Linked DNA regions of Mus musculus. The protein of the gene in region 4 purifies or fractionates together with the protein of the main gene of each other region. This does not show direct contact. Links are inferred from orthologs where the notes say so. Each region holds a gene or a part of one and is shown on either strand. Other genes may lie near its edges. The genes, in order: Map4k4, Strn4, Gcc2, Zranb1, Strip1, Strn3 and Strn.

Evidence for each region.
Region 1: the proteins of Zranb1 (region 4) and Map4k4 purify together in Homo sapiens (affinity purification with mass spectrometry; 3 studies listed by BioGRID and IntAct, with this or other methods). This does not show direct contact. The link is inferred for Mus musculus from reciprocal best matches to the Homo sapiens genes ZRANB1 and MAP4K4.
Region 2: the proteins of Zranb1 (region 4) and Strn4 purify together in Homo sapiens (affinity purification with mass spectrometry; 4 studies listed by BioGRID and IntAct, with this or other methods). This does not show direct contact. The link is inferred for Mus musculus from reciprocal best matches to the Homo sapiens genes ZRANB1 and STRN4.
Region 3: the proteins of Zranb1 (region 4) and Gcc2 purify together in Homo sapiens (affinity purification with mass spectrometry; 3 studies listed by BioGRID and IntAct, with this or other methods). This does not show direct contact. The link is inferred for Mus musculus from reciprocal best matches to the Homo sapiens genes ZRANB1 and GCC2.
Region 5: the proteins of Zranb1 (region 4) and Strip1 purify together in Homo sapiens (affinity purification with mass spectrometry; 4 studies listed by BioGRID and IntAct, with this or other methods). This does not show direct contact. The link is inferred for Mus musculus from reciprocal best matches to the Homo sapiens genes ZRANB1 and STRIP1.
Region 6: the proteins of Zranb1 (region 4) and Strn3 purify together in Homo sapiens (affinity purification with mass spectrometry; 4 studies listed by BioGRID and IntAct, with this or other methods). This does not show direct contact. The link is inferred for Mus musculus from reciprocal best matches to the Homo sapiens genes ZRANB1 and STRN3.
Region 7: the proteins of Zranb1 (region 4) and Strn purify together in Homo sapiens (affinity purification with mass spectrometry; 4 studies listed by BioGRID and IntAct, with this or other methods). This does not show direct contact. The link is inferred for Mus musculus from reciprocal best matches to the Homo sapiens genes ZRANB1 and STRN.

What each region holds. Positions count from the first base shown.
Region 1 is NC_000067.6:39,899,731-39,903,712, reverse strand, and holds the start of Map4k4 (mitogen-activated protein kinase kinase kinase kinase 4), read right to left. Parts: upstream 2,801-3,982; 5' UTR 2,484-2,800; coding exon 2,427-2,483; intron 2,205-2,426; coding exon 2,139-2,204; intron 1-2,138.
Region 2 is NC_000073.6:16,814,481-16,818,688, forward strand, and holds the start of Strn4 (striatin-4), read left to right. Parts: upstream 1-1,408; 5' UTR 1,409-1,872; coding exon 1,873-2,154; intron 2,155-2,219; exon of another isoform or gene 2,220-2,252; intron 2,253-4,208. UniProt on the Homo sapiens protein: Calmodulin-binding scaffolding protein which is the center of the striatin-interacting phosphatase and kinase (STRIPAK) complexes.
Region 3 is NC_000076.6:58,290,026-58,293,525, forward strand, and holds part of Gcc2 (GRIP and coiled-coil domain-containing protein 2), read left to right. Parts: intron 1-274; coding exon 275-451; intron 452-2,539; coding exon 2,540-2,757; intron 2,758-3,500. UniProt on the Homo sapiens protein: Golgin which probably tethers transport vesicles to the trans-Golgi network (TGN) and regulates vesicular transport between the endosomes and the Golgi.
Region 4 is NC_000073.6:132,983,176-132,986,891, reverse strand, and holds the end of Zranb1 (ubiquitin thioesterase Zranb1), read right to left. Parts: intron 3,160-3,716; coding exon 2,941-3,159; 3' UTR 501-2,940; downstream 1-500. UniProt on the Homo sapiens protein: Ubiquitin thioesterase, which specifically hydrolyzes 'Lys-29'-linked and 'Lys-33'-linked diubiquitin. Also cleaves 'Lys-63'-linked chains, but with 40-fold less efficiency compared to 'Lys-29'-linked ones.
Region 5 is NC_000069.6:107,628,911-107,633,183, reverse strand, and holds the start of Strip1 (striatin-interacting protein 1), read left to right. Parts: upstream 1-1,473; 5' UTR 1,474-1,503; coding exon 1,504-1,683; intron 1,684-4,273. UniProt on the Homo sapiens protein: Plays a role in the regulation of cell morphology and cytoskeletal organization. Required in the cortical actin filament dynamics and cell shape. Part of the striatin-interacting phosphatase and kinase (STRIPAK) complexes.
Region 6 is NC_000078.6:51,608,041-51,611,914, reverse strand, and holds the end of Strn3 (striatin-3), read left to right. Parts: intron 1-1,468; coding exon 1,469-1,555; intron 1,556-1,642; coding exon 1,643-1,812; 3' UTR 1,813-3,374; downstream 3,375-3,874. UniProt on the Homo sapiens protein: Calmodulin-binding scaffolding protein which is the center of the striatin-interacting phosphatase and kinase (STRIPAK) complexes.
Region 7 is NC_000083.6:78,667,062-78,670,561, forward strand, and holds part of Strn (striatin), read right to left. Parts: intron 3,381-3,500; coding exon of another isoform or gene 3,294-3,380; intron 2,834-3,293; coding exon 2,690-2,833; intron 198-2,689; coding exon 61-197; intron 1-60. UniProt on the Homo sapiens protein: Calmodulin-binding scaffolding protein which is the center of the striatin-interacting phosphatase and kinase (STRIPAK) complexes.

The DNA.
Region 1 (3,982 bases), on a different chromosome or scaffold from region 4:
GTGCATGCTTAAAAATGTCCCTAAAGATAGGGTGTGTGTGTGTGTGTGTGTGTGTGTGTGTGAGAGGGAGAGAGAGAGAGAGAGAGACTGAGAGAGAGAGAGACTGAGAGAGAGAGAGAGAGAGAGAGAGACTGACTACCTACCTGTAAGTAAAACCAAGCACTACACTACTATGTATGGGTTACACGCACCTTTTACATCAATGTCTTAAGAGATTTGAACTCAATATTTTTCAACTGCACTGGGTATAGTTAACACATCCCCGTTACTCCCCAAAAGCAGTGTTTAGCAAATCTACTTCAAAAGCCTGGGGGCGGGGTGGGGGGCGGTTAAAAGAGGAGAGGTAGAGGACAAAGAACTTGCCCAGATTAACACCACAAAGTGTCCACCTTTTAAAACCAACTAAACCCACGCTGGCCTTTTAAAAGGCACTACTGCTTTCTGGCTTAGTTCTCTACCCGCAGTTTCCACGCTGACCCAGGGAAACACAAACAATCCAACTACTGTGTAATCAGGTCAAAAACAAGCTCTGGCTAACTCACTTGGAAGAGTCTACTCACAACTTAGATCTGGCCAGAAAAACTAGGTTAGAAAAAAACCAATCCGTGCTTAAACAAACTCTGGAGCTGGGAAGAGTGTCTTTAAGCCAGTTACCAGCCAGCCACTCCAGTGAGTTGCAACACAGTCTTTTCCAAAATTTTCCAAAGCCTTCCAAATTCAGTTGGGCCCAGCAGGCTGTTAACAGGGCTCCCTTTCAAATTCAAAAATCTGGCCCAGGCCCCAACAGTTAACCAACAAAACATGCTAATTCACTTGAGATCACCTAAGAGTACTGACTCAGGCTCTGACCACAGGCAGGCCTGTCAATACCACCTTCCAGGCCCCGTGCTGGGGAGAGGGGGAAGCTGGAGCCCCGGAGAAGCAATCTTGAGCACATAAACCCTATTCACAAGGCTGAAAAGGGACAAAAGAATCCACACTTAATTTGGCCTCAGAAAATGTCTACAGTCAGCTTCAACCACCACCCCCATTTTTAGGGAAACAATGACAATTCTTCATGGTGAGCCACAAAGCCCTCCTTCATAAGATAATTTTTCTCTGTGTGTGTAGCTCAACCTTGACCCAGTCCCAGTAACTAGAAAACTCCCCAAGCAAAGATAATTCCAGAAAACCGTTTACCAACAAGAAGGAAATCAGGAAACCGAACGAACGTAAAGGTTTTTGCTTTGTTTTGTTTGTGTTTTTTTTTTTTTTACACTTCGGAGCCTGAGCCGCCTTCTAGACCGAGCGAGCGAAACAGAATGAACAACAGTTCACAGCCTTAGGTGCCAGCTCCGCGGCGACACAGGCCAACAGATTCCTCAGCTTCATCTGCAGCCCAGGGAGGAGGATAAATTTAAAGAGAGAGAACGACCAGGGGTGGCGGGTGTGAAGTCTGGCATCCTCTCTACTCCTTGCTCTCTCTCCTCCCAGCCATCTCAATTACACAGCTGTCACAAAGGTTATTCCTGGAATTCACATTTTATAATCCCCACACTGTAATTCCTCCTGTTCCCGTGGCCCAAAAGCACACTCCCCCGCCCGCTTCCCCAAGATACTGTCCACTAGAACAGGGTATGCTGGCCAAGCTTTAAAATCAGTACCAGGTAACGCTAGCCTCCCCAAGTTGGAGCCTACGGCAAGCACTCCGAAGGCAGAAGCACGATGACATGTCTCAAGAATACCAAGGCAGTGGCTGAGTGGAGTCATAGGCAAGGCCTGTCTACACCGAATTTTAATTCACGGACAAACGCAAACGCATGAAGGCCAGATTTGGAGGAAAGGGGGTTTGGGGGGAGACCCTGTGGTCACCCTCGAACACAAAATTCCTTTTCTATTTTGCTAAAGCCAAGTGCATGCCTAACAGTGTAGCTTATTTCCTTTATCTCAAAGCCAGGAAATGAGGTCTTTTAAGGCCAGTCTGAACACAGGCAAAAAAACAAAAAAGAAAAAGAAAAAAAAAGAAAAGCCAGGCGAAACCCCCTTTCCCAACTTTGGCCAGGCGGCACGGCCTGCAGTCAGCAGCGTTTCGTCACCCTTTCCCTCGTCCCCTAAGAAGTTTCTCCACGCCACGGGGAACAAAGGCGCCCCACACCGACCTTATAGACTTGTCCATAGGTGCCATTTCCAACCACTTCCACCAGCTCAAAAATCCCAGCAGGGTCCTGGAGAGAGAGGAGGGGGAGGTTATCAACTCAAAAGAGGGACCCCAACCGAGGAGGGCGAGAGGGCGGAGGGAGGGATGCAGGGCGGTGACAAAGGCTCGCCCCGCCGGGTCCCCGGGAGCGCCGTGGCACCCGCCCGCCCGCTCGCCCGGCAGACAAAGGGGCCGCCGCGCCCGCGGGTGTCCGTGTCCACCGCGGCGCGCAGGGCGCGGCCGCACTCACCCGCAGGGACGACAGGTCAATGTCCACCAGGCTCTTCGCGGGAGAGTCGTTCGCCATCTTCCCCGGGTCGCCGCTCCGGGAGCGGGCGAGAGAGCGAGAGACGGGCAGGGGCTCGGCGGCGCCGGGGCTCGGGCCGCACGGGCAGGCCGCCGCCGCCCGGGCGGCTTGTCGTCCGGTCGGAGCGGAGCGCGGCGCGGAGAGCGCTGGCCGCGGAGCTCACACCATGGCTTGGCGGTCCTCCCTCGGCCCCCACCCGCCCCCCGGGCGTCGCCCGCCGCCTCAGGCCCCGGCGCCCCGCGCGCGCGCGCCTGCACGAGCGGCCCGGAGCTGGGGCCGGAGAGCGCGGCGAGCGAGCGAGCGCGAGGCCGCGAGACAAAGATGCCGCGGGAGGCGGGGGCGGGGGCGGGGACGCGGGGCACCGACCGGCGCCGCTGAGGAGGGGCGAGCGACTCCCCCGCCCCCTCCGCCGGGAGAGCGGGCGGAACCCGGCCCTCGCCCTCGCTCGCTCGCCGCCCGCCCGCGTGAATATTCAGCAGGGGTGGGGCTCGAACAATGGCCGGGCGGCCGGCCCTCCGCGGATGGTGGCCCGGCCCGGGGTGGGGCCGGGAGCCCTCGGGGCCTTCCCGGAGGAAGTGCGGGGCGCGGCGGAACACCCCAGCCTCCGCTAACAATGAATGAAAGACTCGGAGCGCCCCGGCGGCCCCGTGGACACCCCACCCGCGCCGCTCGCCCGGGAGAGGGTGTGCCAGGACGCGCCGGGGTCGGGCCTCGGACCCCTCCGCCGCCTACGGCCGGTCGGTCCCGTAGACCCTCGTTTCCTTTTTACCCCCCAAGGGGTGTTCCTCTCCTTTCTCCTTTCCTGTCTCAGTTTGTGGCTTGGTTGCTGCTGGAGGATTCGCTGAGCATCACTTGACCGTCCGGGAGAATCCAAAACAGTCGCTGTGATTGCTCGCTGCTGTGTTCCCCGAGCCAGTTTGGCCCATGGGAGGGAGGGCGGACGGGCGAGCCCTCTGCTCGGGATCTAAAACCCTGACAGTACCTGGATGGAGATCACCACGGGTCACCAAACAGGCTTCTTCCAGCATGCCACAGCAAGTCAGCTAGGCAGTTCAACTACTGTCCCTCTTTATCACGTCCCAGGACCAGCCAAAAACATGTTTAGTGACTCCCTGTTACCTCACAGCGGGTGTTCTCAACAGTATCCCAGAATGGCCAGGTACAAGATCGCTGTAAAATTGCTTGACTCCCACATGTAGAAGGCCTAGAATGGGCCTGATAAGTTAAGAGATGAAGCTAAGCTTGGTGTTACATGGCGCCCCCCAAAATCCACTGTTTCATGGGCATCTAGTTGTCAATAACGTTCTGCACCTCCCTCCCCACACACTCCACACTGTTCTGATTTAAGCAGTACACACCTTATAGCCTCGGAGTAGAAAACCCCCAATACTGCAATTGTTGTACTCAAACCCTAAAGACCCTAGCCTAGAGAGGAGCGAGCATACTCTCCACTTCGGCCTATACCCAGAGTTCAAGTCGCTGCCCCCAGAGAATGTCCA
Region 2 (4,208 bases), about 120 Mb from region 4:
GGAGACCAGCCGGGAGCAGGAGTGAGTAACATGGGGCCTTGCCTAGGAAAAGTGGTCAGGGAAGAGAGTGAATCTGAGCTCATACTAGCTTTCCATTTCTTCCCCCACACATTATATACGCTGAGTCTGATGTTAAATGCTTGTATTCCCAGCACTTGGGAGGTGGAGGCAGGAGGATTGAAAATTCAAGGTCATCCTTGACCACTGCTTGAGTTTGAGGCCAGCCTGGGCTACATGAGACTGTCAGAAAAACAACAACAACAACAACAACAACAACAACAAAACAGTGTTTAAAGATGGCCCAGCAGGTTCTTGATACCAAGGCAGACCTGAGTTTAGTCTCCAGAACCCAAACAATACAAGGAAAGAATCAACTCCGGCAACTCAGCCTCTGACTTCCACACATGCACATGCACACAATAAACAAACACATGAAAAAAATCTAAGCGTATGCATCACTTGGAATTAGCCTTAGCCTTTTCAATCACAGTAGGTACAAAAAGGAGACCCATTCAGGAAAGCCTTTAAGGACATAGAAAGGGCAGTTACCCATGTGATTACTGTGACATCCAGGGACTCTTACCTCCCTAGGTTTCAGGCTGAGGGTGATCAAGAAGAGTGGTTTCACCTTGGGTCATCTGCCCTGCTGAGGGAGGAACCAGAAAGCATCAAATGAGCCAGCCCCTCCCAACAAAGTGCAATTTCATTCTACCCGCCCGTGAAAGTAGCTAATGAAGTCACAGACTCTTTTGTCTATTTGAAGTCCATAAGCCTGGTTACCACTTCAGTCGTCTCAGGAGTGATGTGGTGGGTAGGAGTCATCAATTGTAAGCTATAACTATCCCTCTTCCATGATGGTGTCCAGAAGGGCAGAAGTGACAGCAACTGTTACCATGACAACCTCTTCTCTAGACTCATGCATCCTTTGGAGCTAATCCTAAACATCCCCTATCTTACAGGACCTGATTGCTAGGATCATCAGACTGTGGGAGATTGCCCTGTTATAGTAACCAGGGCATGGATTTAACTGTTTCTCATCTCCCTGGAAATGGTCCAGGCCCTGTAACCATAGCAACTGTCCCACAGCAGCACTTGTCTTCTAAATAAAAACACCTGGTTGGTTTATCCATGGACTTTCCATAAGGGAAGGGGAGATGGTTACCATGGTAATGGCAACTGGGTTGGCTGGGGGAGGAGTGGGACAGAGGCATTCCTCTTAGAGGAATGTCTTTGGGGCTGGGCCTTTTTTCTACCTGAGCTCTAGGTGAGGGGAGGTTGCTATAGTAACTGATGAGGATAGGGTCAGAAGAACCACCAGGGACTTGGGTTACCTTAGCAACCTCCTCCTAGTGCAATGATAGTAGAGGTTTGGGACTCCACATATGCAAACTGGGAAGGGGCCTCCAGATTGGATAGGGTTATTATGACAACCGACTTCCTCTGGTCAGAGCCCACTCCCCACCCCAGGTCGTCTTTTTTGTTTTTTGTTTTTTTTTTCTTCACTAAGTGAAAGAGATGGGGGTGTATTTGCATTTGGAGGGGATAGGACTCTGACATTGGGGAGAATGCAGAAAAAAAAGTCCGGTCTGGTCTCTCGACCGCAAAGGAGACAATTGCGAGGGACCCTGGGTCCTTTGCCTACGTAGAGGCAGTCCCTCCCCCTCCCTGTCAGCACCCCCGCCCGCGCGCACCACCGGGGTCGACCCGGGTGGGTGGGCGAGGCTCGCGCCCAGCCCCGTGCTTGTCCCCGCTCCCCTCGCCCGCCCAGCGCGCGCGCGCGCGCACACGAGGCGGGGGTGTAGAAGTGTGAAGCTGCGCGTCCGCGCAGGCGCGCGAGGTACAGCGGGCGCGCGGGCCGGCCCCGGGGCCTCCATGATGGAGGAGCGAGCGGCCGCCGCGGTCGCATCGGCCGCCTCCTCCTGCCGCCCTCTGGGCTCGGGCACGGCTCCCAACCCGACGGCGGCGGCCCCGGCCTCCAGCCCTGCTCCTGGGCCCGGCCCGGTAGGAAAAGGAGGTGGCGGCGGAGGCAGCCCGGGCCCTACGGCGGGCCCGGAGCCCCTCAGCCTGCCGGGGATCCTGCACTTTATCCAACACGAGTGGGCACGCTTCGAAGCCGAGAAGGCCCGCTGGGAGGCCGAGCGCGCCGAGCTGCAGGTGAGCGCCACCGCTGCCCTCCCGCGCTCCCCGCCCCAGTCCTGCCCGGCCCGGCCTCGCCTCACCCGCCGCCGCCGCCGCCGCCATCTTGGAGCAATGGCCGCCGGGACGGCCGGGAGGGGGCGGGCAGGGCCGGCGACGGGCCGGCGGCGGGGTCCTCGGGGCCTCGGGGCGGACGCGGGCCGGGACCGGTCAGAGGATCTGAGCAGGGCCGAGTCTGCCGGGAGCCGCGAGTGGGAGTGACGAGCCCAAGCCCAGAGAGCCTGTCTGGGCGATGCGACTCGGGGTTCCCGGGGGACAGAGTGCTGAGAAAGTGGATGGGGTCTGCGCGAATAAATATGCCACGCCTCGCCTCCGGATCCTAACCAGATGCTGGCTGTCAGGGTGGAATGGACTAGATGTCTAGTGGGGTGACACACTCTTAACATCCACTGGGTGCAGGGAGTGAAGAGAGGAAGACTGGAAGCTGGCATGGGGTACCTTGGGGGAGTGGCTGGCCCGGAGCAATTGAAAGGTGGGAGGAAGCTTGATAGGAAGGGGTCCCAGGATGAAGTGTGTGGCCTCCTGTCCAAGAAGGACACTTTGGGCACGTGTGGCTACAATGTAGGGACACATTGGGATCGTTTGGGTGGAACCACGGAGAGGGTAGAGGACATGTTTTGGGCTCCCCCAGGAGAGCTTGAGAGTGGGAAGCGACATTTTGGGTGCTTTAAGGAATTAGAGTTCCGTTATGAAAGATTTGAGGATGTTAGGTAGAAACCCCTGAACTGTTAGGGCGTTTGTTGGGTATATTCAGTGGGAAGACAGGAGCGTCTGAGATGCTGCACACGGTGAAGAGGGATGGAGGTGCCTTTGGGTGATGAGTAGGGGGAAAAGACAGCACGAGGAGGGACTCCGTGAGGGAAGTGATTGTGTAAGGGCCTCTAAAGGGACTTGATGGTTTGTGGAGAAGAATGTGCCAGGTGATGGCTCGTGGAGTAGAAGTTGGGCTGGGCTCTGTGACCTTGAGCTAGGTACTGCTTGTGGGGAATCAGAAAGGTGAGCACTTCAAGGCCTTCAGGGATGGGCCCCCAGGAGTCAAATGGTTCCTAGGCTGGGATGTTATTAACAAAAACAGTCAGCGCTTGGTTTCTGGCAACCCATCTTTCTGTTTCCAATGTGCTCTTTCCTGTCAGATTGAAATGGAGCCCCAAATAAGTGACTGATTCAGTTTTTGTCCATGGGATGAATGCCAAGAGCATTTGAATTTTGTGTATGTAGCTCCCATCCCTGAGAGAGAAGTCCTTATGTAAGTGCTCCTCGTGCTGTGCCCAACTCTAACTCAGGCTCTTTCCCAGCATACATCTCATCAGATCTTCTCAATACCCCATTATGTAGGCAGGGCCAATGTCATTACCTCACTCAGCAATAACGACAGCAGCTGCTATTTATTCAGGGCATATTATGTGCCTGACACTGTATTAAGTATTATACATGCTATCATTTAATTCTTGTGGCATTCTGAGAGGGGAAATGGTATCCCTTCCTCTCTTTTTTAATAAGCAGGGGAGGGAGATGCTACGGATCCCAGCAGTGGTGGCAGTGCTGACTGTGTCTTTTCCCTGTCTGACACTGAGCACAGGTGAGAAAAGTCTCTAAGGAAGCTTAGAGACCTCACCAGGTCACCCAGGCCATCACAGCAGAGCTTGACAGGGGTACAGTTGACAGCTTTCACTGTGTCAGCCATGCTGTGTATCCCAGACTCCACTCAGAGTGTACAGTATGTGCTGCCTCCTAAGAAGAGGTCTTCCCACTCACTTAGTGACCTTCTGTGGAGTCACAGAGCATGCTCTGTAAGGCTCCAGCATCACCAACTTCATGCTTTTGCTACTTTTGTTGCATTCTAAGTCAGACATCAGGATGTGTGTGTGTGTGTATGTACATGTCCTGAATGTGTTAGAATATACCACATTCGACACTTCATAAGTCATACATTTAGTTCCCTTTCCCCATTAGCAGAGAATACTTATTTTTGATAGCTTGGGTAGTATTCTCTTGGGTATTCACACCATAGC
Region 3 (3,500 bases), on a different chromosome or scaffold from region 4:
CAGCTAGTTCAAAGCCAGTTTGTGCTCTGTAGCAAGTATCAGGCCAACCATAGCTATATAGGCTAAACTCCAGAAACATCTTTTTGTAAATCTGTAGTGCCTGATACTTGCCATGTCAATATAACATTTTTTAACTATTGTAATTCTTGTGAGTATGTATTCTTTAGAATCATGCCCAGTCACCAAGAGTCTGACACTGAAACAGCAAACATATTTGAGGCCACAAAATGAGTTTACCTCTTTCATAAATGTTGTTAAACTATTTCTGTTTTAGGGAACACCTGGAAATGCTGATTGACCAACTGAAAATCAAGTTACAGGACAGCCAAAATAGCTTACAAATCAGTGTATCGGAGTACCAGACCCTGCAGGCTGAGCACGACACTCTGCTAGAGAGGCACAACCGGATGCTGCAGGAAACTGTGACCAAAGAGGCAGAACTTCGGGAAAAGTAAGGCTGCCAGCAGCAGCAGCAAGTGCCATTGGTAGCAGGCAAGCAGCCTGGCACTCTGCTGTGCCCCCCGCCCCCCCCTTGGATTGCAGTCAGGAGTAAGAGCTTATAGAGGCTTGAGAACTCTGCCTTACCTACTAGCAAACTTCCCTTCAGACTGTTTTTATCTTAAGCATTTTTGAGAACAACTAACATCTGATATTGCACCTTGCCTACAGCCTTTATAATCAGGAACTTTATTTAAAAAAAAAAAAAGCTTTCCAACCCAACTGTCAAATTTTAAAAAGCATTTTCTTTATTGCTGTAAAGAGGAATTAAAGTAATTATTCACTAATGAGGCCAACCAATGTTTATACAACCTACAGAGCCCAACTAATATAAACACCCGAGTCACAACTGGGACAGAATGATAAGCTTCTGTCGGGACTGGATTTCCAGTTGCATGTGAGGAGCTTGCAGGCAGCTAGCTTGTGATAAATCCATTGTGGATAGCACCTGGAGGCTACTACCAAGTACTCCTGGTATAATGGCAGACATTGAACACAGGCAAGTGCTATGCTTCCGAGCTGTGTCTCAGCCATCAGGAAGCTGTTGTAACTGATGATGATTTCTCCTTTATGTTCTTGTAACTATCATGAACAAAATGCTTGCAAAACACTATGTACAGTGTTTTACTAGTCACTATGAACTTGGTCATTGAGACCCCTTTTGCTAAAGCCAGGCATGGTGGCACATACATGTAGTCTCAGCATTCAGGCTCAGGACTAGGGCTACATAACAAGTTTAAGTCCATCTCAAACTGTATTATAAGGCCCTGTCTTTGAAAAGGGGGGTGGGGGGAAAGGAAAGGAAAGAAGAGAAAAGAAAAAGATCAATGATTTTTTTATTTTTTTCTTTAGCCACTAAATCCATTTTAATTTAATATGGTGTATAAAATTATGACAGAAAATTTTATTTTAATACATTATACTCCCAATAGGTAAGAATGTTCATTTAACACTGGAATCAGGTTAGAGACTGGCAAGCATGAGACCCAGGAGAGGGCAGATTTAACTGGCTTCTAATTGCTTCTAATTCTTATGAGCAAATATTTCTGGAAATTTATTCATGTTTTCGAGTTGAGGTTTGCTAAAACCAAACATAAAATAACAAAGATACAAATAAACTGTTTTAAAAAATTGTTGCTCAGGCTGCTGAGATGGCTAAACAGGGAGACCCTTGCTGAGCAAGCCTGGGGTCATGAATTCAGCCCCTGCTGCCCATGAACAAGTGGAAGAAGGAAGAGAAGTGACTACAAACTTGTCTTCTGACTTCTGCCATGTATATGGCCATAACACACCCATCATTCACTCACACACCATAATAATAAAAAGAATAAACTTTAATTAATTAATAAAGTAGTTGCTCCCCAAGTGAAGGTCTGCTCACTGTTGTCGCCCTGACTGTTTCAAACCCAAGTGGAGGACTGCTGCTAGTAGCTAATTCCCAGGACCCCACTACCTCAGAGTCAGCAGCAGGAGTATGGACACTAGGTGTTAGTGTTTTACAAGGTAAACCAGCAAATCTGATGTGCTGGAAAAGTTAGAACTAGCTGTAATAAATCAGGTCTTTGTGTCTATGTGATTCATGCTAGTTCACTCAAAAATGAATATTTTCCTTTGAGTCCTTGAGTTCTTTATGAAAAGTATCCTTTTCTCATGTTCAAGGTAGTATGGAATAGGTAGATGAATCTTATATGAGCTGCCTATATAAAATCACATAACAATAGAATAATATTGTGTGTGTGTGTGTGTGTGTGTGTGTGTGTGTGTGTGTGTGTGTGTATGTGTTTGTGTTAAAGTGTGTGTTTAAAAGTGTAACAGGGCTTTCCATCTCCCAGGCTAGTCTTACTCATTATGTAAAAGAGGGTGACGTTCTGATCCTCTTGGCCCCACCCCTATGTGCTGAGATTGCAAGGATGTACTAATGTGTCCAGTTTCTATGGTGCTGGGCACTGAACCCAGAGCATCCAGCTGACAGGCTGCTTCAGCAAGTGTAGTCCATTGCTGTGTAGCACTCTCATACAAACTTAGCTCTTCTCACCTTCAGGCTATGTTCAGTTCAATCTGAGAACACCATGATGAAGTCTGAGCACTCGCAGACAATGTGTCAGCTAACATCCCAGAATGAAGCACTCCGTACCAGCTTCCGAGACCAAGTTCGACACTTGCAGGATGAGCACAGAAAGACAGTGGAGACTCTGCAGCACCAGCTCTCCAAGCTGGAAGCTCAGCTCTTCCAGCTCAAGAGTGAGCCATCCACAAGAAGTATGTGTGACTGTGTGGGAGGGTGACCTTTTTGTGTTCTGACATATCACATAAGAGCATCATTCACAAATTGATAAGAAAGTAAAATATTGGATGAATCAATGGTTACCAGTACTTGCTGCAATTCCAGCAATTCTGGGTTTGGTCCTCAGCACCCACATAGTGGTTCACATCTGTCTCTAACTCCAGTCACAGGGAATTCAGTGGCCTCTTCCACCTCTGAGAGCACTGCCTGCACATGATATACAGTCATACGTGCAAAACGCCCAAAGACCAAAAATAAAAACAGTAATAGTAATAATTAAAAACATGTAAAACTTAAAGGAAAAGATTACTGAGTACCGACTTGTGTCGATTCTGTGATTAATGAATTATGGATTTGCTTACTGGAAATAAACCTGAGTCATATAAACCCTTCTTGATTATACTTAGAGCAGCCTATGCAACTTCTTAGACCACTGATGTTCATAATTGTGTTACCCTCTGTGTAATGCATTTATTTTTTGTTTGGCTTATACATACACCTATCAGTCTGTTGGCATGAGTTCTAATTCTGTCATCTATTGACTTCAGATGCATGTGTTCTTGGTTGGAAGCTTTGGGCAGAGCTAGGGACTTATAACCCGTACTTGTCGAGTTTTTACCAGTGCAGCGTCTTCCCTCAGACTTTAGTGAGGTAGAATCGCCACTTCCACGTCTTCTATTCTGCTTCTAGAAAAGGCCAAGAGAATGTCAGTTGTGAC
Region 4 (3,716 bases):
TGTGGTGACAGTGTCTTATCTCACAGAAGTCCAAATTAGGTAGGCTATCCTAAAGATGAGGCAGTGCTTTGGAGTGAAGTCAATTCCAGAAACAAAACTGGTTAATTTTTAGAGTTTTGATTTTAATATGCCCAAATGTAGATGTGAACTCTTTGTTTGGGGGAGGGAGGGTAACCTAATATTTATAAAGTGACTGAAAACTTCCACTTGTACTTACCTTCTGAAGTAGCACTCAATGCTCACAATTCCAAGGTTCCTGTTCCTGAGAGAATGAAGTGTCTTACAATGTAAGCCTGTCTGGCTGCCTTCTTTTTAGGAGGGTGCTCTACCTTAACTGCGCTATAAAATGAGCTCACGTGGAGTACCTTCCGTATTACAGATCTTGTCAGTGACTGTGGAAAAAGAGGCCCCAACCATCTACACAGCAGTACTTAACATTTGTTATGGCTAGTGTAGTAAACCTAACAGTGAGAAACAGAAAGTCAGATCTGAATCCATGGTGTGCCTAGGTTTTGTTTAATTAGATTGTGGTTGCTCAAACAGTCCTTTAGAAATGATTATAAACTGACTCCAAAGAACGACAACATCAGGATAAAAACAAAGTACTGGTTTCACCCTAGAAAAAGAACCATAAAGTCCACGTAGTTATAAAAGTATTACTGTCCAGTCCATCTGAAAATCCCTATACCTGCCACCCAGCCATGTATCATCTTTTACAAAGGACGGCATTACACTTTCTTGGGACAATAATTATGGCTGTTGGTTTAGTTCAAGAGCTTAACATAGCGCTGATTTCCCAAAGGGGTTGGCCATTTCACAGCCAGCAGTCTGCTAGAGAAACTAATGAAAGCCCCATTCCTATCTTAAGAGTCCAAGAAATGGAGCCTTCTTTAATTCTTTCCCACAGGGAAGAATGGGTACCTATCAAATTATGTGTGGTCAGGGTCACTGGTCATAAATAAATAAATAAATAATATAAATACAGAGGGAACTCAGGAAAGGACACTCAAGAATTGACAATATGCAGAACAAGGCTCAATCCTGAGCCTGACTCTGTACCACAAGGTTTGGGTACAACACAGATGCACCTAGAGACCAGTGTTACCCTCTCAGCTCTCTGTGGCTTATTTGGGAGGAAGGTTTTGCTTAACTGGATCTCTGCCTCCTGAAAAATCAACTCTACACATGGAGATCAGCTATTCTAGATGCTATGGATGCTAAGTACTTAGAATGACAGCCTTCTATTGACTTGGTTATCATTCACTGATCAAAATGAAAACGAAATAGTCAATTTGTAGAAAAACACTAACTACTGGAACAGTAACATTTACCAGTATTGTTACCACAATTCATTTATATGGAGTCACCTACTGTGAAAATTACTTTCTGGTTTTAGCATGCAGCATAAATGATCTTTCATCCTGAGAACACCTTTTTATTAAGTGTTCACAAGAGAGAGAACTAAAGACATAACAGCTCATAAGTTTTTTCTTTTTAGTATTCCAGCAAACTTAAAAGTTGTATACACTTCAATACCATCTCATCAGAAAAACAAGATTTAAAGGTTTCACAGCCTTTTCATTAAAGGGGAGGAGAAGAGGAAATGTGTGTATTTGCTACTTTGCAACTGCTTGCCACATCAGTCTAAGTGCTTATCAGGACACTACATGTTGTGTGCCTGAGGAGGTCAGAAATGTTTACCCAGTACTAACATATACCTGAAGTGGTCAATTAACACTCTCCATAAATTTTTTTTCTAAAAAGTATGGTTTTAACTTTAAATAATGCTACAACTAACCAACATGCAAAAATTCTCAGACTACACAGAAACTGATCATACAATGCATTGACCACCTTACTGCATTTTAAAAATCTTTATTCTGTACTGAACTGTATTCCCAATCAGCCTAACCAAAGGCCTGCCCCTAATACAGGGTCTGCTTAGAGCAGAGGTGACAAAGACAGGAAGTAGCTGAAGACTGTCTGCATGGCCGCCTGGGAACAGAACAGGTTGAGTCCAAGTAACTGTCACATAACCCACCCAGGGATGAGTGAGCCTGCTCCCTTTCCATCCATCCATCCATCCAGGGTAGAAGTGCACAAATGCACCGCCCAGAGTCGAGTAAGAACCCCCTTTACAGGGCACTCTTCCAAACAAATACCTAAATAATGAAAGGGGCAAATCGGAAAAATTGAAAACAACAGAAACTAAAACCCTCTTCAAAAAACAAGAGACAATGTTTATGTTAAGTTCACTCCAAAAACTTGCTAGTTTTTCTTGTAGTTTGTTCCTAAGGGTTTGATTTTTTTTTTTTTTTTTTTTTTTTACTTTTATTGGGCACAACAGGAACTAAATTATTAATAAAATAAAGGCTTGTTTATTTTTATCTTGCCGTGGATAATTTGTACAAAGTTTCCAAATCTCTAAAACAATGGGAAATGGGTCTGGTGTGGTGGGAGCAGGATGTCAGGTGCTAATGAGAGAGAGAGCATCTCACTGGTCTGTCTGCTATGTGCTGTTTATGAGTGCCCATGCTGGGAAAATGGTCTCAGTAACATGAAGATGCTGGTGCACTTTTCCTAGTACACAACTTCTCAAACAACCACATGCGTTACATTCATAGACAGATTTACAATTTGAAAGGAAAAAAAAGTTCTGTCAATAAAATTAGGTTATTTTTTTTCTTTTTTCTTTTTTTTTCTTTTCTTTTTTTTTTTTTTTTTTCTTTTTTACAAACTGTAGTTCAACCAAAGTTCTCCATCTCCTCATGCAGATGCAGTCAATTCTCTCCTGTGAGTGTGGAACAGAAAGATAACTTGGGAGCAGATCCGGCAGGGTATGGCTCGCTCCATGCTGCATATTCTGTTTAGGATACCACACTAACTTTGAGGCCACCTCAGACCTGATGCCTTGGTCTTTTTCTTTCCTTAGGTTTGTTGTCATTCATCCTCATCATCCTCATCTTCCTCTCCATCAGACAGGGATGTACAAGGCCGGATCTGTCTGTAGCGGTCAAGCCATTTTTCTACCATTTGTGTGACCAAGGGGTGGTTTCTCCGCCGAGAGCTTTTCTGCATGGCCACTAGAACTCCCCCTTCAGTCACACAGCAGTCCAGCCACTCTCTGAGCAGTTTCTCTTGCTGCTCCTCATTACCTAGCTTTTAAAGGAACACAAGGAAAAGGCAAGTCACACAGTATGTCAGGCACTTGGTAGGAATAACTGGCAGCTCCTGTGATAATGAAAAAGCAAAAGCAAACAACTGTTTCTACCCCAATTTCAACCTTTTCTCAGTTTTATCATCAAAACCCAGAAGGTTTTTGCATTGAGATTAAATGAAACAGCCTTCTTCACAAAAGGGTCTAAGAAAACACCCTAGAAGGTTAAATTATTTGACATGCCCTTCAGAAAAATACCAAGAGAAAGGTCTCAGCTTCAGACGTGACAAGGTAAGTCCGCTGGGTAAACTACATCTGGGCTGAATTGTACACGTCATGGGCTACTCTTCCTTGACACTGTGCTCGTGTTTGGGAATTACTAGAATACATAATAAATAGCCAATCATTTTCTAGAACATGGGCTTCCTGGGTATCTTTTATACATCCTCACTACCTCTCTGGCTGGTCTACACTGCTGTCACTGCCTTATATGTACCCTCAGCTCCTTGCCCCACGCCCTCTCAACTCACTCTACCCTGGAGTGGTAACACAGGCAGGC
Region 5 (4,273 bases), on a different chromosome or scaffold from region 4:
AGTGTGGTCTGGTTATCATCCTCTCAGTGTTGGTTCTATGAGATGGTAGAAGTCCTTTTTACTTAAGGGACAAGCTGGTTCTCAGGAGTTGATTCTTTCTCCTCCAGGGTGCACAGGCCATGATAGAAAGAGCTGTTCGTCATCCGGGGATGCTGTGTTCTGTGAGGCTTTGCCACTCCTGATGTCTAGAGGGTTGAGGCCAGTGACCAAGAGTCTTGTACCTGCTTCTTGGGGAGGGAGGTTTCTGGAGGAGGACACTGTAAAAAGTAACATTAAAACCATCTTGGTTACTCCTATGTGTTTGGCACTCAGACGTGACGGAGAATGAGGTGAGAGGCCACCATTTTTGGATGATTGCTCTTTGAGTCAATACAGATGTGAGCAGGTAATTCAGAGTAAACGAGACAGCTACAAAATGAAGGCAGAAAAGCAAGAGCCACTTCTAAGGGATTATTAAACACACCCTCATTTCCCCATGATTTCTCTGTTATATTTTCAATTTCAGTTTTATTTATTCATTTGTTTATCTCCCCCATGTGAATGTAAACTCCACGAAGACTAGAATCCTATTTTTGTTCATTATTATATCCTTAAAAGTATTTGTCAGTGGCTTGAGGACAGATACAACTTCATACTGTTATCCTTAGCCCCCAAGAGTCTCTCTCTCTCTCTCTCTCTCTCTCTCTCTCTCTCTCTCTCTCTCTCTCTCTCTCTCTTTCTCTGTCTCTCTCTCTCTCTGTCTCTCTTCACTTCAAGTTCAAGACAGGGTTTCTCTGTATAGTCCTGGCTGTCCCGGAACTCACTTTGTAAACCAGGCTGGCCTCGAACTCAGAAATCTGCCTGCCTCTGACTCCCAAGTGCTGGGATTAAAGGCGTGCGCCACCAACGCCCGGCTTTTTCCCCTGTTTTGATAAGTGAGATTATTAACGTGGCTCCAGAGGTGTCTTGGATGGAGTTATAATCTGATAAGTAAAACCAGGAGTCCCCAGGGTTGCACAAGGTGTTTCTTACAGAGTCCTACTGACTTGGAGGTTTTTCAGCTGGAAGGTTAGAGAAAAGCCACAACCAGTTGTTAATTGTACAGAAATTCTTTGCTAGGAAAACGTGTCAACTAGACCCATGAGTCAGGAATTGCTTTCTTTAATGATGTCTCCCTAATTTCCCCTTTCATCCTGCCTCACCTTGAACAGGGAGGGCTCTAAAGACAGGCAAAGCGATGATAGACAACGAATTAAAGTGTTAAGTCTCATGGATAAAAAAGACATCTAAAGGGATTCCTGCGAGCCCAGCCGCACGTCTCCGGCTTAGTTCCACGGGAAGGAGGGAGGGGAAACTAAATGACAAAGCCAGGAAAGACCTTGGGAGGTGATTGGCAGTTGCGGCTTTCGACACACGCAGCCACACTGAATATGGCGATTGGGGAAATTTCCTGGAGGAAATCACGCGAGAGTTGCCTGACGGGAGGCCGTCCGCGAATTGAGCCGGGGGTGTGGAGCAGCCAAGATGGAGCCGGCAGCCGCCGGTCCCGGCCCTCTGATTGTGAACAACAAGCAGCCGCAGCCGCCACCTCCTCCGCCGCCTGCCACCGCGCAGCCTCCTCCTGGGGCGCCGAGGGCCGCCGGAGGCCTCCTGCCGGGGGGCAAAGCCCGCGAGTTCAACCGCAACCAGCGCAAAGACTCGGAGGTCAGAGCTGCAGGGGGGCGAGGCTGGCACCGGGCGGGTGACAGAGGGGGTCCCGGGAGACCGGGGCGGCATCCGGGCCCAGCCGGGCTTCCCGACGGCTTGACAGGGACCCTGGGAGCTGTCACTTTACCGGGAACCGTGCAGTTAGCTAGGCTGGCAGCCGCCACAGCCCCGGGGAGGAAAGCCCGGAGCCCTGTCACCAACTCTGCTGCGGCCGGGGGAAGAAGGTCCCCGAGCCGGGGATGGCCGGTCGCCCCCGGGGGCGTGGCCTGAGGCACAGCCCTCCTGGGGTGCAAAATCGGTGGTCTGCTGGCTGGTTAGCCCCTCATCCTTTCCGGCCTCTGATCTTAGCAGGGTGGTGGGCCACGCCAGTTGGCAGCGAAGGGACCCAGGAGAGTTTAGCGGGCGCTTAGAACAGGGCTTCTCTCTCTAGTGCTGCTTGGCCGGCCCCAGGTTGTGTGAGTAGCAGAGAGAGCACATTGTGGCTTCCCTCCGAATTTTAGTCAGCGCTGGATCAAACCGCGGCCAGACATTGCCAAGTATTTTTGCATGCCCAGTGAGCCCAGTTGCTGAGCTGTGAAGGGATCAGAAGTACACAAAGGGCGCCGGATTCTCCTCCTTGCTAGTGAGCTGCGATTCCCTTTGCCCGCGCTGTCTGGAGCTATTCACCTCGCCCCAAGTTAAAATTCCTCCCACTGCTTCCGTTTGCAGAATTCATGAATGAACACACACCCGTCTCGTCGCAGCATTTCAGGGCTTCCTCATCAGCACATTCATTCCCAGAGCGCTTACTACGCAATCTCCTCCACCTGAGACAACTTCCAGTGTGATGAACAGCCAGGCACTTACCGAGAGGGAATTCCTCAAATTCAAATTTGATGCTTCAGCTAGTACCAGATACTAAAGATAGTGTCTTTAAGCCTAAGAAATCAGTTCCCTCCAAACATTTTGTTGTTGTCGCAGGCTCAAATTCTGATAACTTATGTCACAAAGGAACAAGCCCAGAGTTGAGAGGATGAGTTTAGAGTGGCTTTTTTGAAAAAGATGGACCTTTTAGGAGCCTTTTGTTGTGGAATGATGGGTGATCAGTGGCTACTTCTCAGTGATCTCTTAAGTACGAAGGAGTATGGAAGTTAAGTTTGTAAGACCTTTAATGACCAGACTTGTCCAGGTTTTCTGAAGAGAACCCTGAGAATTGAACTACACCTTCAAATTTCTCTTTTTAAATGTTTGAGTGGACTGGAGAGATGGTTCAGTGGTTAAGAGAACTTGCTGTTCTCTCAGAGGATCCCAGCACCCAAGTTGGGCCGCTCACAACTGCCTATTAGCACACTAGCTCCTAGGGATCCAGTACTGTCCTTTTGTCCTCCATGGGCACATGTATACACACACAGATAAACACATAATACATTTAAAATAAGTGCTTTAGGGATGGCGGGATAGCTCAGCAGGTAAAGTAGTTTTAAATTTTCCTGAAAAGCCACAAAATAGTCAGATAAATACCCTTTTGTGCATTTTATTTTATTTGTTGTTTGTTTGCTTCTTTGTTTTTTGTTTTGTTTTTGTTTTTGAGACAGGGTTTCTCTGTGTAGCTTTAGCTGTCCTAGAACTCTGCTCTGCAGATGGGGCTGGCCTCAAACTCAACAGAGATTCATCTGCCTCTTGAGTGCTAGGATTAAAGGTGTGCACCACCCCTTATTCGTGTTATTATGTGGTGCTGAGAATCAGATTCAGGGCCTTGTGCAAGGTAGGCAAACACTATACTGCTGAGGTATGTCCTCAGCCTCTATTACATGTTTTTATTTCTCTTCCTACCTTTAATTTCACTGGATTCAACATCTGGAAGGCCCATCACATCGATCTGTGTCCTTGTGTTGGAGGTGCTGATGCTGCACACCCTTCTGGTGACAGCTGAAGTCAGTAGTTTGGGGATCTGATCAGTGCCTAGAGCACAAGGAGGCTCAGTATGTGCCAGGTAAACTTTATTAGTCCTCAAAACTAGCCAAGGCAGTCGAGCATGCTTCCAGTCACAACACTCCGGAAGCTGAGCAAGGAGAATCAGAGTTCAAGGCCAGCCTGGGCTGCATAGTAAAACCTTGTCTCTATAAAAATACACTGGGGGGGGGGGGCTAAGAAATGGTAATGGATTTGGGGGTGAATAAGACCACAATATATTATATAATGGGAATGAAACTGTCAAAAAAAAAAAAAAGGTCTTAAGCTAAGTTTGAAGCAGAGTTTTGTCATTCCCATTGGGTAAATGAAACTCAACCTCAGTAATGTATACAAATGTTGATTTTAGTTGTGTTTTAATGGGACTGGGACTTGAACCCAGGACTCTACACATGGTAGGTAATCATTTTACCACTAAACTCTGTCTCTAGCCTAGAAGCTCAGTAGTGTATGGAAGTGTCCATTAGTGCCCATTAATAAGGAATAGAGTTATGGCTTGTGGGCATATTATGTCATGTCAGGGGTCATTATCAGTTAGAAGGTTTTCCCTGACCCCACTCTCCATCTCACTCACCCACCCAGCTGCATGCTGAGAATTAAGCCCAGGATCTAGCACCTACTAGGAAGGTGCTCTGTG
Region 6 (3,874 bases), on a different chromosome or scaffold from region 4:
CCTCTTGCTCCACATCTTCTCCAGCATGTTCTGTCGCTTGAGGTTTTGATCTTAGCCATTCTGATGGGTGTAAGATGGAATTTCAGGGTCAGTTTTCTCTGTATTTCCTTTTAAGTGCTTCTTAACCATTGGAGATTCCTCTGTTGGGAATTCTCTGTTTTAGCTCTGTACCCCATTTTTCAATTGGGTTGTTTGGTTTGTTAGAGTCTAACTTCATGAGTCCTTTATATAGTTTGGATATTATCCCTCTGTCTGATGTAAAGTTAGTGAAGATCTTTTCCCAGTCTGCCGTTTTTTTTTTTTTTCTTCTTGATAATTTCCTTAAATTTAAACTTGCAAACACACACACACACACACACACACACACACACACACACACACACACAAATAAGTGAATCTTTATTGTGTAGTGGATTTTATAGTAAAACACTATACAATATTCAACCCAGGAAAGGAACCCAGGACAGACCAAAATATGATTGTGTCTAAATCTTACTTGGTGAACCAAAAAGGTCTTAACTGGGGTTCCTACCTAAGGGTCTGGATGGGTGGGAGCTCAGTCCTAATTGGTGAACTGTAAAGGTCTTACTGAGGTTTGCTAACAGGAGGATGCATCGGTGAGAGCTACTTACAGAATAGATTTAAAAACAAAAACCAGCTGCAATAGGGAAAGGCCCACCCCAGTGTGAGTAAGGGTGGAGCTCTCTTGCACAACTTGGAGGTAGGTTTGCAGATGCGAGAAATCTCTAAAAAGAGTTGTTTACTGCTTCTAAAAAACTTAAGGGCTGGAGAAATGGCTCAGTGGCTAAGAAGCACATACTATTCTTATGGAAACGGTCTCAGTACCCACATCAGGCAGTTCCAGCTTCAGGAAGCCAACACCTATGACTTCTGGCACATACGTAGACACACATACAGCACATTTACGTCAATTAAAATTTAATTAAAAAAAAAGGTGGGGCAGGATTTCCTGAGTCTTCCAAGTTTTTACTTTTCTCAGATATGTAACCTACTTACTGTTTATGCTCTGACTCCAGTGAGCATCCTTTCCCCCGCCCCTACCTGTAGAGGAATGCTTCATTTAGGAGCAGAGTCTTTTAAAAATAACTAATGGTAAAAATTTTCTTTAGTCTATTAGTATGGTAGATGCATCTTGAAAAATATGTGCAAGAAGCCAGACACAAAAGCCACATATTCAGAATCTAGTGTAAAGCATCTAGAATTGGACAGTTTCTAGAGAGGGCCATTGTTGCTAGGGATTGGGGAAAGATTATATACTTGGAACAAGATTTTCTTTCACAGTGATGGGCTCGGAAGTAGTAGTGGTTGCTCACTGTGAATTGTGTGCTCCCAAATAATTAAATACTAACTTGTATGTTGTGAATACTTTCCAAAACTTAAAAAAAATACTGTGATGGTGATTGTTTTATGTTGCCTCTCAGCATTAATCTTCTGCTATGTTTTATAGGTAAAATGATCCATTCTATGGTAGCTCATTTGGATGCTGTTACAAGTTTAGCAGTAGATCCCAATGGAATCTATTTGATGTCTGGAAGTAAGTTTGAACTTCAGTACACCCTACAAACTTTATAAAAGAATTGCTCCTTAGTAACAAGCTTCCCCCCCCCCCCTTCTTTTACAGGCCATGACTGTTCCATTAGACTATGGAATTTGGACAGTAAGACATGTGTACAAGAAATAACAGCTCATAGGAAGAAATTGGATGAGTCAATTTATGATGTTGCTTTCCATCCATCAAAGGCATATATCGCCAGTGCAGGAGCTGATGCTCTTGCCAAAGTATTTGTGTGAACCAACATAGACTCGCATCTTAGAAAAAAAAGATTTACTTGGTCAGAAAGGGGGTCTGCATCACTGCCATCATGAAGGTTCCTGACATGACACTACATGTGATCTGCCTGGTGATTGGGGCAGGCAGAAATTGGGAATCACATCCTAATGTCAGGTTTATTAGTTTAAGTGTAATTAACTGTATTTTGTGGGACAGAAAGAAAAAGGACTCCAGTATCTGTGCCCTATACTGGATATGAACTGAGCGGTTTTTGTTTTTGTTTTTTAAGGTGTTTAAGCCAATGTGGAGTCTGCTCTTAGGGGGAAGGACTTTTTGTTGGACTCTGTGTGCTGCCTTAGGGTTAGGAATGTGGTGCTCTGGTGGGGAAGCAAGCTCCAAGAGTAGCTTTGTTCATCTCTTAGTGATCTTATGTTCATCAGTGAATGCCACAGATTCCCTTTTAAAGTTATTTTGCTTTAAAAAAAAAAAAAGAAAAAAGAAAAAAGAAAGAAAAGAAAATTTAACTTAAAATATTTTAGCATTAGTTGCACAAAATGTTTGGATAAAATTCTAGTTTTTATAAGTCTTTTTATATATTTAGCCTGTCACAACAGTGCTCAAGATCATATTGATGTTTTTTCTGCATTATACAACCCTAAAACACAGAGATCTCACTAACCTGCCACCTATAACCACTTTCTTTCCTCCTTTTACCTAATACAGCTCAGCTAAGTCCTTCATAAAGATGATAAACCAATCACCTTTGTCTACATGTCTTCATGAACCAAGGACTATTAAGTGTATTAAAACAAAGCTGTGGAGTTTAGTACTCCAAAGGAACTCTTTAAAAACTAATCTTGACATCCTATCACTATGTGATATTTTGTACATCTTACTGTATTTACAAGTTTATTTATCAAGGATTATCCATCTTGCTAATAGCCTATTATTTATTTTACTTTTTGTTGGTCTTTATATCCTTTTATTAATGTGCTAAAGGAACCTGTATATCTATTTTGGAACTCTTTGAAAAGTCTAAAATAGACTAAAAATGGAATATTTTATAGTTAAGTTACAAACCAAGATGTTTCTCCCCAAGATTCTTGATTTACCATGATTCCAAAACAAATGAACTAGTTAGAAAATTGGAGAATATTTTATTACCATTACAAATAAGATATTAAAAAAAAGTTGAATCAGGACACAGAAGTCTGCTGGATTTGGACTCACAGTCTCCCTGTTTTACTTTTTAGATGTGCTTACTTTTATGGTGTAACTGAAGATTTTCTTTGTGTAATGCATGATTAAGACAATAAAGTATTTTTTCTAGTCTTCCAAAAGCCTTTTCTGATCAGTTTGCGAGTTTTGATGAGTTTTGTAAGGTTTTTGTTTTACAGACTATGAATCAGCAGATTTTTAAGATTGTACCCCAGAGCAAACATAGAGCTGTTGAAAAATAATGTATATAAAATACATATAATAAATATTAAATTGTGTACCTGTATGTTGCTCTTGGCCACATTATTTCGTGTTGAATAATAAAGTGCAATACTCTCCACAATTAAACTAGGAAATGAAGGTGCTTTCTTAGTGGAGTCCTTCATTTTTATGCTATTCTTTTTGGTTTTTCAAGACAGGGTTTCTCTGTATAGCCCTGGCTGTCCTGGAACTCACTCTGTAGACCAGGCTAGCCTTGAACTCGGAAATCCGCCTGCCTCTGCCTCCCAAGTGCTGGGTATGCTATTCTTTTCATACGTTGTTGTACTTAATGAGATTCTAGTAAGGTTACAGCAGAAACACTATTAAGAATACTTTTCAGAGTAATTTTGTACCACCAGGGGGTAGCTTTTAAGCTATTAAAATATGGCACCCACTGTCATCCTCACCCCCCAGATTTCACAGATGCAATATTTTCAGTAATCTGCTTAGATATCTTATTACTGTAAAATCTGAGTTTTACTTAATAGAAAGTAGTGTTGTCTTGTTTAGGTATACCTGTTTCCACAGACATGTTTATTAGCAAAGAATAAACTGTGTCATTTACTAGTAGAAAGTTGCACTTATAAAGTTAAAAGTTAGCTA
Region 7 (3,500 bases), on a different chromosome or scaffold from region 4:
AAACCCAACAATTAAATTTTCAAACAGATTAATGGTGTGACAAACAGAACAGCTACTTACATCATAAGCTAGTGAGTCTGCTTCATTGGCCACCGTGAGGCCTGCTAATTCTCCAAGCCCCAGCTCGCTCTCAAGGGCTTCGTCTGCTCCCATGATAAATGACTTCCCAGAAGAAGGGGGGAATGTCAGCGCTTCCACTGAGGAGACAAAGGCCAGGTTACACACCTAGACAACTCACAGCGAGGCTTGCTTGCATTACACTTCTGCTAAGTGATCATGTACATTTTTACTTGATCAATTTTCTGGGTTGGTTTGTCTGTTTGTTTTCTGAGCCTAGGCTGGCCCAGAACAAAGGTAATTCTCTTGCCTTGGCCTCCTAAGTGCTGGAATTACAGGCCTGAGAGATTATACCTCTATTACTGTTAGGAAATTTTGCAAACAGTGAAATTTCCTAGCAAAAAACAAAAACAAAAAAAAATCTTAAAGACTGCTTGTTCATATATTATCCTGCTAACAGCATCATCTAGTTAGAAAAGTAAAAGAGAAACAGACCTAGTAATCTACTGTCCTTCCCTTTATCATTACACAGAAACTAGTGAGTCTAAAACTAAGGTTTTTCTCTATTTTATGATAATTACTCAGATAATGTCTACCTACCAATTACTAAGTATATCAACAAGTAGTTCTTGCTGTATGTTCAACACTGTTGATCTCATACAAAATAAAACCAATCGAGTCTATAAGCTGGAATATTGTAGACATTTCAAAGTGAAAACTCTACAATGTGCCTATCTAAGAAAACTTAATATACACTGTTAGAAGTCAGAGTTCTCTCCTGAGGTGAGACAAGTGACAGAGGTTAAAGGCCACAGAGGACGCTACATTAGTAATATCGAGCATCGCTACTTTAGTGATTCCCTGTTCCTTGATCTGAGGGTGACCGTATCAACAGGCCGTGGCTACTTCTGATTTGTGACGATTGAACGAGATGCTCCCATGTTTTATTTTTGTTGAGCGCATTAAATAGTGGCTATCTGATTTAAAAACAACAGTGGCATCTGGATGTGCACAACTTTAACCCCAGCACTCTGGAGGCCCAGGGAGATGAACTGCGAGGCCAACCTGGCTGACATAATGAACTCAGGCCAGCCAGGGATAAGCAGTGACAAAAACTAGGACTAGTGACAAAAACTCAAAATCTGTCAGAAAAAGAAAATCACTGTCAGAATAAACCATGACACAAATTAAGCCACTCTCAAGCCACACATACACGAGAGTGGCGCCAGTAAGAACTAAGCTCCCCCTAGCACGCTGCGCATCCCCTGCAGGGGTCAGACAACCCTAGCGCTCTGCAGCCTGACAACTGTCCAAATGTAGTTTTCAGGTCAAAACTTCAAAGAACCACTCATGTGCACCTAGGAGACTAGGGATTCCCCAGGTGTCTTTTCTTTGTCCTATTTCCCATTTCTAACATTTTTATAAGTGAGGTAAAAATGGCCTGTCCTGCAGACAGTAAGACTTCTTAAGACTTGTGGAACAGAGCACAGCATGGGTGCGTGGGTTAGTAGTAGCTAATGCTCTAGGAAGGTCTAGCCAGGGAGGGGTCAGAAGAGAAAGCAACAGGGATGTCGCATCTTTACGTGGGTGGGCATCTTGCTCTCTGGGTCCTCAGAAGTGAAGAAATAGGTTACAGTACCTTGGGTAACTACATAGTGCTGCCTTAATCAGCTTCTAGAAAACCAACAAGACCTCAGCTACTACCCGGGACTAAGGAAGCTCTTCCTGAGTGCTGGGGGAGACGCTTTAGTGACGGGCGAGTAACTGTAAAGTGAGCAGCCCTTCCTCTCCTTCCCGCCACCCCACCTCACTCACGTCTGCCCACGGTTTTCCTCTACTCAGTCCTTCGCCTCAGTGCTGGGGATGAGCTGAGCTCTGCGTGAGGCAAATGTCATTTCACCAATTGACAAACATTCCCAATCCTAAACTTTCTACATTTGTATACCATGGAACTGCACTGTGAAAAACTAGAAACAATCAACATATTTTAAAGAAAGAATTTGATTTCAAATCTAAAGTATAATATGTAGCATTAAGGCTGAACTTGAAAATCAACAGTATGATTGTATACTAAATATAAAACAAAACAGAACTAGTCTACATGATGGCTGTAACTACGTTTTTAAAAAGTATATGCCAGCAGATAAGGACTTTTGAAAGGGACCAAAGAAACATGGGAAACAGAAAATATGACAATAGGTGGCTTTCCCTCCATTTTGTTACTGTTACTTTGGGACAGGGTCTCACTGTGCAGTCCTTGGCTGGGTTGGAACTTGCTATGTAGAGCAGACTGGCCTCAACGCATAGAGAGCTAGTTTCCTCCGCCTCTGAGTTCTAGGATTAAAGCATGTGTCATCATGCCTAATGTCGCTGCATTTTTTAAAACGTGTTTATGCTGACTTTCCAACTTTCTGACTCAATTTCCTCACTGCTGGCTTGGAATTAACAGTTAGCATTGAGTTGCCATGGAGCTAGGGAATATTCAAAACCAGAAACTAAGAGTTGGTTCTTAAATTTATGCCCTTCACTCCAAATCACAGACCGATGCTAAAGACCGCCTTAAGGAAGCGGATGTGTGCAGACTGTGTGCTCTCTGAGGAGGCTCAGTTCGGTCCTAGGTCCACGCGCTCACCTTCATCTGCCCTACTGAGCTCCTGTTCTGGAAGCCTGGAGCTGCTGGGTCTGGAAGGGGAGCCAACAGATGGCTGCAAGGAGGGAAGTTCATCAACGTCTCTCAAATTAGCAAGCATATCTTGTAGTTTTGACCTATTGGGCCCTAGCCAAAAGAGGTGGGAGGGCAGAGGAGGAAAAAGAGAAAACAGAATCACTCATCTCATAAAAACTGCACAACAAACCTTTTCACACTGCCAGCATTTACCTTCAAAATAGCCTACTAGATTCATCAATAAGCAACAGTCATTTTTGAAGTTTTCAAATTTTAAGAGTTTATTACTGCTGGAAAAGAATTATATTTAAATATATGTTTTATAAATTAAGTTAATGGAATCACTACACGAGAAAGAATGTCATTTCTAGTATGTATCATTAAAAGGCATACTCATCTACAATGAAGCCAATGACTAGTGGTCTAAATGAAGCCAATCACAGATCATGAACCGAATGTGAACTCAGTTGAACAGTAACTCTGCTGCTTGCTTAAGTTAAGTTACATTCACTGTCTACATCCTGCAGCTACGGAACCCGGAATGAAGTCTCATGTCCTACTGACTACTTACCTGGGCTTTGTCTCTTCATTCTCCCACATCCCTGTTTTGACTGTTTTATATAGGATAGAGGCTGAAACAGATCTTCGGTAGTTTTTCCTGTTACAAGTTTAATTAAGAATGGGAAAATCTTACCCATAGTCCGTTATGGTATTTCCTTTACCAGCAAAGAATACAACTATTTCTAAGCAATTTTAACTAGTACCTAGAAAAATTTAA